2 linked regions of the Schizosaccharomyces pombe genome follow. The protein of the gene in region 1 interacts with the protein of each later gene in a pairwise test. Each region holds a gene or a part of one and is shown in the gene's direction. Other genes may lie near its edges. The genes, in order: nuf2 and alp7.

Evidence for each region.
Region 2: the proteins of nuf2 (region 1) and alp7 interact in binary tests that used the Schizosaccharomyces pombe proteins (3 or more experiments, as listed by UniProt).

The regions. Positions count from the first base shown.
Region 1 is NC_003424.3:4,321,020-4,325,214, reverse strand, and holds nuf2 (protein Nuf2), read left to right. Parts: upstream 1-1,991; 5' UTR 1,992-2,007; coding exon 2,008-3,333; 3' UTR 3,334-3,695; downstream 3,696-4,195. Other genes in the region: SPOM_SPAC27F1.05C (aminotransferase), read left to right, coding at 109-1,563; ubiquitin hydrolase Uch1, read left to right, coding at 3,740-4,195. UniProt on the Schizosaccharomyces pombe protein: Acts as a component of the NMS (Ndc80-MIND-Spc7) super complex which has a role in kinetochore function during late meiotic prophase and throughout the mitotic cell cycle.
Region 2 is NC_003424.3:5,001,801-5,006,583, reverse strand, and holds alp7 (kinetochore-associated protein Alp7), read left to right. Parts: upstream 1-2,098; 5' UTR 2,099-2,388; coding exon 2,389-3,813; 3' UTR 3,814-4,184; downstream 4,185-4,783. Other genes in the region: serine/threonine protein kinase Ppk16, read right to left, coding at 1-1,463, 1,632-1,681, 1,749-1,842, 1,890-1,913; tbc13 (GTPase-activating protein), read left to right, coding at 4,608-4,783. UniProt on the Schizosaccharomyces pombe protein: Required for bipolar spindle formation and proper chromosome segregation. Has an indirect role in connecting the kinetochores and the plus end of pole to chromosome microtubules by targeting alp14 to the spindle pole body.

The DNA.
Region 1 (4,195 bases):
AAGGTAACCATATACTGTAAAGATTCATTTGGAAATTACATTTAAGAAGCTTTGAGTTAAGAACTATCTTTCCTGCTCGTTTATTTACGTTAAATTTACGCACTTATCATGATTGATTCCACGTCCACTGCTACTGCTACCTCAAAGACGGTTGAACTTAACACAAATGGTTCAAAAACCGATGCCTCCTCCGAAAATGGAACAGCCAGCAATTATCCTGAGGGTTTGTGGTGCTTCGACGAAGCCATGAAAATGGACCCAGAAACGACTGTCAAGTTACAACTCGACCACTTAAACAAGTTACGCACTGTCCATGGCCACGCTCGCAATTTTGTGAAAGCTGATAATTCTCGTTTTGTTGATGAAAAGGGTACTGAGCATCTGGACTTAATTGGAGGCGTTGGAGTCGTAACGGTCGGTAACAACAATCAGTATGTTTGGGATTGCTTACAGAAATGCTTTGATGCCAAGTTATATATGATGGGTGCCATTTCCTATCGTAACCTTGCAGCTGCCTTTGGTCGCAATATGGCTTTGCTATCTCCTGGTCAAAAACTTACTCGCACATGGACTGCAACCGGTGGTGCTGAAGCTAATGAGGGAGTTATTAAATTGATTCGCCTTGCTACCCGTTATAAGCCTAACAAGAAAAAGTTTCTTTCTACTTTGAACTCTTTCCATGGTAAAACCACTGGTGCCGTCTTTTTAGGCGGCAAAGAAAAATGGCAAAAATATCAAAGTCCTGCTCCTTTCGACGTTGACTACGTCCCTTACGGTGATGCGGAAGCACTTCAAGTTGCCTTATCCTCTGGTATGTACCGTTCATTCATTGTTGAGCCTATTCAAGGCGAAGGTGGTGTTATTGTCCCTCCTCCAGGTTATCTTGCAAAGGCTCGTGAACTTTGCACTAAGTACGATACATATCTCGTTTTAGACGAAATTCAAACCGGTTGTGGTCGTACCGGTAAATTCTGGGCCTGTGAATACGAAAACATCATTCCGGATTGTATCGCTTTCGCCAAAGGATTTTCAGGCGGACTCATTCCATTTGCAGGGTATATCGCTACAGAGGAGCTTTGGAATGCTGCTTACAATTCCCTTGAAACGGCTTTTCTGCACACTGCCACTTATCAAGAAAACACTCTTGGACTTGCCGCCGGTGTTGCTACCATCGATTATATCGTGCAAAACGACCTTCTTTCTAGATGCCGCAAGTTAGGTGGTATCATGTTTGATCGTCTTAATAAACTTCAAACAAAATTCCCTCATGTTATGAAGGATGTTCGTGGTCGAGGAATGATAGTTGGTATTGAATTTTATCCCATTCCTGAGTCAGTTCAAGAAGAATTCGGCGAATACTATGCAACTCCTATTGTCAATGACCTTGCCGATACATATCACGTCCAAGTCTACTGTTCACTCAATAATCCTTCAGTTTTCCGCTTCCTTCCTCCTTTAACTATTCCAGAAGCCGACTTAGACGAAGGTTTGTCAGCCGTTGAATCTGCTGTTGCAAAGTTTGATGCTAAGGTTAAGGAAGCTGTTGCAGCCAAGTCAACCTAAAACTTTGGTTTCATCTATCATTAGCCCTTTCAGGCTTTTAGTAAAGTTGGGTCATCAGGCATAAATGTTAATTTTTTTATCTTCTTATCTAGTTTCAGCTTTTATATGCTCCTTATATTGTTTCTTGCTTACATGCAACGTTTGAGATAAACCATCGATTGTAAAATTATATAAACTATATAGAACTATTTTAAATCAAATCGTTCACTTTTTAAAAAAGATATATAAAACGGAGTTGTTAATTTACTATGTATGACAGAAGAAAAACTTATACGAAATTCAGCTTTGTTCTTGATTTTTTAAAAAGAATGAAAAATTGAATATCTAGAACATGCAACTAAATAAAAAATTTAAATTTTATTTTATTATATTTATAATTAAATTCACAATCAAAGCAGATTAAATACGTAAAATCCAGTTGTTCAGTTAACCATCAACTTTACCATGGCACGAAAACACACATTTCCTTCTTTGAAGCGTGCTGAGATTTTAGAATGCATAGATGGTCTTGGAATTCCATTCACGGCTAAAGAGCTTGACCAACCAACCTCGAAAGCCGTCATCCCTCTGTATGAAGAATTTCTTGACTTGTTTATGGGGTTGACCCGCCAGAATTTAGAAGAGAAGGTTAATTCGTTACAAGATTCTGTCGAGAATTTCGAGATAATACATGAGTCTTTAAGATTTACTGTTTTTTATCAGATTTTAAGTCAATTCATGCAAAACATCTGTTTTCATGACTTTACGATTCAAGACCTATTGAAACCAGACAGAAATCGACTACAACTAATTTTATCAGCAGTTATTAATTTTGCAAAACTCAGAGAAGAGAGGTTACAGCAATTTGATGATGATATACAGAAGCGAGAAAGCCTTCTGGAAACGTATACCCTTTTAGATGCACAACGAAAAGATTTAGAGGAAAAAGTTTTGTTAAGCCAAGATAGGAAATTGGAAAGTGAGGCAATTATTAAACAGAATGAAGAAAGAAACGAAGAAATGTTTCAGTCTTTGATAGAAGACAAACGATTGTGCTCTCAAGTTCGTACAGAATATGATCGCATTAGAATGGAGGCCTCAGAGTTAAAGATTAGGTATCACAACGTCGATTCATTAATGGCCAGTACTTTGGAAGAAATTGAAAAACTTCAGTCCTCTATTGTACATTCTCCTGAAAAGCTGAAAGGAAAGATAGCAGACACATCGTTACGGATACAAAATGATCGGTCGCAGCAAGTGGAACTGGATAAAAAGTCAAAAATTCTGCATACAAAATTGAACAGTTTACAGTTAATTGAAGGAGACTTGAATGCTTGTTTGAAAGTGCTTGAAGAATGTCTTGTAGAATTGGATAAACTGGAACATGCTACTGTGTTGCTTTCTACAAATCAAGAGCTTTGCGATCAAATAGAAATAAACAAAAAAAAACTTGAGTTCAGAAAAGAACAACTTTTAAAGCAATTATCTAATGCTCAAGAAAAACTCGAGCATGAACAACATTCTCGAAATCAAAAACTTGAGGCTGCCAAACAACGAATGGACAACATACGGGAAGAATACAAAGTAATTACCCAAGAAAGGAATAAAAAGATTCAGGAGACTGAAAAGAAAAATGCCATGATAGAGATGACCGAACAAAAAATTGCTGGAATGCGAGAAGAACTGGAGTCTCAAATATCCTCTATAACTATGGAATTCGAAAAATTGAAATCGCACGTGGAGCTTTATATTGCTGAACTTCTCAGAAACTTAAGGTCTTCTAACTCTTAGTATCTTCATTTTGAAAAATCTTTATTCGTGCAAATATTTCAACACTACCTATAAGAACGTTGGTTGGACTTCGAAGCCAGAATTTTAGATTTTACAGTAAATGTATATAGGTAAATCTTGGTAATTATTAATATTTTATGACTCTATTTATAATATACCTATGGAACAATCCCTATTTTTACAGTCATCTTCATAGCTGAACGTGACAGGATATTGAAGTATAGGATACTGATTATAGTAAAGCTTTTTTGTAGATTCCCAAAATTGGCAATCTAAAGATATTCGATTAACTTTGTCAAACTTTGGTGTTTTGCCTCTTTGCTGACTTCTGAGACCTCTGCCACGCCTTCCAAACCTGATCAAAAAAGCCTCAATTAGAGCCATTTATCATTCGAGAAAAATTACAATGTGGAGGCCTTTAGAAAATACACCAGAGGTGCTGGAACCTTACTTACAAAAAATCGGTGTACAAGATGCTAGCGTTTTTGACCTGTTTTCATTAGAGGAAATCCCCGAATATATCCCTCGTCCTGTCCATGCTCTTTTATTCGTTTTTCCATCCTCAGGAACAAAAACTATATATAAAGGATCACGAATTTTACCAAAGGATAGTGACAAAGTCTTGTGGTACCCTCAAACAATTCCAAATGCTTGCGGAACGATTGGATTGCTACATGCGGTTTCGAATGGAGAACTTAGAAGAAAAGTCAATGAAAATGATTTTATTAAAAGTCTAATCAGAACTGCTGAAGGTTCATCTATCGAAGAAAGGGCTAAGCTTATCGAGGATTCGAAAGAACTTGAAGCTTTACATGCAGCATTTGCTGGTCCACCTTTGGAAGTAGAGGGGTCTGAGGAAGAT
Region 2 (4,783 bases), 680 kb from region 1:
GATCGTCGAGTCGGCTGGGGAGATATGACAGTATTTTGCAGAGGAGAAGGTGGAATATCAATATTAATTGAGAGGTTCGAACTTTTAGAAGGGCTATTTTGAGAGTTCGAGGGGAAGGTAAAGTCTTTATTACCGTCGAGGTTTACCGTTTTTAAAAGAGGAGGAGTGAATGGTGTGTTTTGCTCACCTGTATCAACGTGCGTTGTTTGAGGAAGATTTGAGTGTCTTCTTCCAAAACTGTTAATCGAAGGAAACACGGTAAGGTTCTCAACTGAATTGTCTAAAGACTCAGATAAATTATCGGAATCAAAATTTTCTTGAGTTAAATAGTTTTCAGCCGAAGGACTAGGTGTTCTTGGTCTAATTGCTGATGAGCTTAACGTATCAGCAGTATGCTTTTGTTTAGGATCGAATAACCAACTACGAAATGTAGAAAGCAAAGAATTACTTGAATCTGACGATGTATGCCGACTTTTTAAAGAATCCTGATTGTTGGACATAACAGAAACTTGAGCGGTTTTTAATGATGGAGTTGCTGGAGCTATGTGTACAGCCGAAGATGAACCTTTATGTAAATGAAACAAACCTTTCTTTTTTTTGTTTTCCTTACGCATTTCTTTTTCTAGTAATAAAAGCCACCATCCATAGAACATGTCACAGCGCTGTTGTGAGATGCTGGCATTAAGTTGATCCATGTCAACACCAACAAATTCAAGCCTTTTACGAACTTTTTCCTCTGCTTTCGAGGAAGGCCTTGGGTCTCGAATAGAAGATGAATGATATCCATTTTCCTTGAAATAGGGGTGAGAGATGATTTGATCGATAGAGGGTCGAAGTCGGTAATCCTTGCAAAGGAGGGATTTCAACAAGCTTGAAGAGTTTTTGGAGAGTGTTTCAGGATATTGAGGACATTCATTGATAATTTTTTGCTCAGTTAAAGATACATCGTCCTCGTCGAACGGGAGCCTTCCTATTAAGAGAGCGTACATAATTATACCCAGAGACCATATATCAACGCATTCACCAATATATTTATGGCCCTGTACTAGCTCCGGAGCACAATAAGCAACTGTACCACAACGTGTGTTCATAAATGTTCTACGGGAACAATCAGAATCTCTAGAAAACCCAAAGTCTCCAAGCTTAACATTGTAGGCTTTATCTAGAAAAATATTTTCGAGTTTAAGGTCACGGTGAACACAGCCTTGTCTATGTAAATACTGAATAGCACAGCATAGCTGCCACATGATACGGCAAGTGGTCTTTTCATCCAGCCTTTTTTCTCTCGCTACCCAGTCATACAATTCACCATTTGGACAATACTCCATGGCAAGATAAATTCGGTCTTCGGTGCATACTACTTCATAAAGCCTCGTGATGTTTGGATGAAGAAGACGCCGATGATGATGAATTTCTCGAGCAAGGATAATCGCTTGTTTCCTGCAAGATGATTTCAGGACAACCTTTAATAAAAATGTTAGCAAGGTACAATCAATTTATTGATGAATAAAACGTTTATCATTCTCATAATGTAATCAACCGACTTTGGAACGGTCAATATTCGCAATTTACGAGCCGTTTATTCTTCTTTTTATAACTTAGAGACATAGTAATCTTTGAATAACCCATACCTTTGTATTTGTCAGTAAATGAGCTGCCAAATAAACTTTTCCAAAGCTGCCTACAACCCATGCTTGTTAGATAGCCGTCCAGTATTGAGCGTTCACAATAACACAAAAGTATCGTACCTTCACCGACAACACTCTCAATGCGATATGTACCGACATCAGAGATACGAGGATTGCAAATTGTTGCAATTAGGTCATTGTATGAGGCCGATATCTGCCATTCATTAGATAATCACGATTTCCCTCTTTTCATATACATACGTTTGCCTTTTCATTTTTCTTCATACTAAAATTTGGCACACATAATATCAAAGGTTGACTTGCAAATTGTTTAGTGTTTACAGTAGGATACTTTGGTGTTATTACAAAGGCTTCGGAGAACAAGCTACCGAAAATTCACCGAGAGCTCGGTGAACTCTTCCCACTCTCTCCTTACTCAGTGTAAACCAGTATGTATGTGCCTTTTATTTACACCACCATTGTACGCCTAGTGTTGAATCAAGACGAAGAATTGAGGGCAATAAGGGGTTATTTATTGGGCATTGTATGACTCAAGTTTGTTATTGAACCATTGTTCTACGTAGGCGGACATCTGACCAGTTTTCAAAAAGTAAAAATAAAAGTTAGCTACTGATCGTTAACTTTGAAACGATAATACCAGCTGTAAAATATTTGAAAAAGGATTTTCTTGTGTATTTATATTTCATATATCTGTTAGTTCTTTATATCGTTTGACGATTTTAAAAAGTCATAACCGAAAATGAGTGATATCGTTTCGAGCTCTACAGATTACAGTAGGAGGTCTCCCTCCTCATCTAGTATTGGGACAAATGAAACTGATCATACGGGTTTTCATGAAAAAAGGCAAGGTGCCTCTTCAGAATCATTGATTCCTCCAGCTCAACGAAGTTCAGAGGAATCCATGCCTGCCCCTAAATTATTCCCTAAGTTAACTTCTAAACCCAATCCACAGCTGAATTTAAAGGATACTCTTAATAAGCGAGTAAGCGATCGACTACAAGCCTTAGAGTTGAATAAATCTTTTGATTTTTCAGGAACCCCTAGACCGATGCATCCCATATCCCATCCTTTGTCACAGCATAAAACGCCAGAATTTAAGCATAGAAAAAGAAATGTAGAATCTATTTTGACGCCGAAGAATCCTTCTTTATTTTCATCGTCCAATGCGGCCTCCCAACGAGGCTCTTTAAATACCGCTCCATCTAATTTTGCATACAGTCATTCATCATCTTTGCAAACATCAGCTAGTTCTAGGCCCCCAGTGCTTTCAAACGGAAGCTTCCCACGTCAAACTAATACGGCGCCGTTGAACCCACCAGTGCATTTGAAAGACAACATTCGCAACTCTGCTACACCATCAACTTCACAGGCCGATATACCTACTCAATACCCAATTAATTCCACTCAAAAGCAGCAAGCGAAATACGAAGCTGAAATAGAGGGCTACAAAGCCAAACTTGCTGGCACTTATCATGAAATTTCCGTACTCCAAAATACAATCGTCAATGTTTCGGGACAATTGATTGCCGTTAATGACCAACTTCAGCAACTTAGATCTGGAAAAGCATCGACTAGTCCCTCCACAAAGGATACCAACATGAGACTTGTTGAAGGGCATAATGAAGAGACATTAGCTCTTCAGAGAGGTAAATATACTCAAGAGGAAGTTGACAAGTTAATTCAAGAACGCATGGAAAAAGTTGCTGAAGATTTACATGCTCAGTACTCAGCCAAGCACACTCAGAAAATTAATGCTTTCAAAGCCAATTATGCTCGAAAATACGAGGCAACTATACAGGAGCTTCAAAATCAAATCGGTACTGCTCCTAATGCTCCAAAAATATCCAACAGTAACTGGGAGGAAGAAAGGCGAGCATTGAAAGCAGACAATCAGACTCTCCAAAAACAGCTGGAGAAAGCCATTCAAGAGCGCCAAGATATGTCAGATTTTTTGAACAATTTTAAAGCTGATATGGCGAAGAGTGATAAGTTACTAATGCAACAACAATCACAACAGACAGGTGATTTGGAAACACTTCGTTTACAACTGCAAGCGCTTCAAGAAGAGCTCCGGGTCGAAAGGGAGGAACGACAACAGTTGATACAAATGAGCGAGGACTTGGTAATTGCAATGGATCAACTGAATTTGGAGCAAAAATCATGATCTGCGCTTTCATTTTTGATAAAAACAATCTCCATAATTTTTTTTTTTTTTTTGATAGAGTATTGCTAATGTATTGATGCCGTTTCCTTTATCCAAACCACTTCTGTATTCTCATGATTAATTTAGTTTCATATTGATGACCCCAGTTTCATGAATACAACCCGAATTCTTTTGATTTCCATTAATTAAGCCTTCTTTTATGGTTATACATTATCTACCAATTTTCGTATATTTATACATCATAACAGTTCGATATACAACCTAATATAAATTGCATATCCACTCTTTCTTCTTTTATTTGTATTATAGATAGAATCAAAACTGGAGCCAATCTCAAGGCTAATTTCTCACATACATACATTAGAAAACGGTGCATTTATTTAATAAATATCCAATTATTATTAATTGCTCGTTCTAGGTGCTGTTTAAACCAAATATTTCTTTCCTGGTCTGTATGTTGCACCTACATCAATCTTACCTATACTGTACATCTACTAAGGACGTTCATTACTCTGTACTTTCCTACAGTATTTGATTAGGGAAGTATTGTTAAGAAGGAAATTAGTATAAAAAATAAGTCAGAAAATTTAGTCGGTTCTTAAACTTGCATTCAATTTTAGTAGCTAACTTAGTTCCATCATCCACGTGTGAAACAGGCTACTGAACACACCAATTGCGCTCTCCTTTTCTTCATATATTTAATTTTCAACAGTAATATTTTATATATGATAATATAACTAAATTGGATATAGTCAAACTACATAATATCTTATTTGAATCGCTTCTAGTTTATTATGGACTATAAGCAACGCATTGAAAAATTTAAAGACATTTTAAATTCGGAAGAGCCAATTTCTCTCCCTGGTTTATGCTCGCTTTGTATTCAAGGAATTCCTGATGAATATTCACTTAGGGCAAAAGCTTGGATGTTGATGCTTGAGTTCCTTCCTACCGATAGATCAAACTGGCA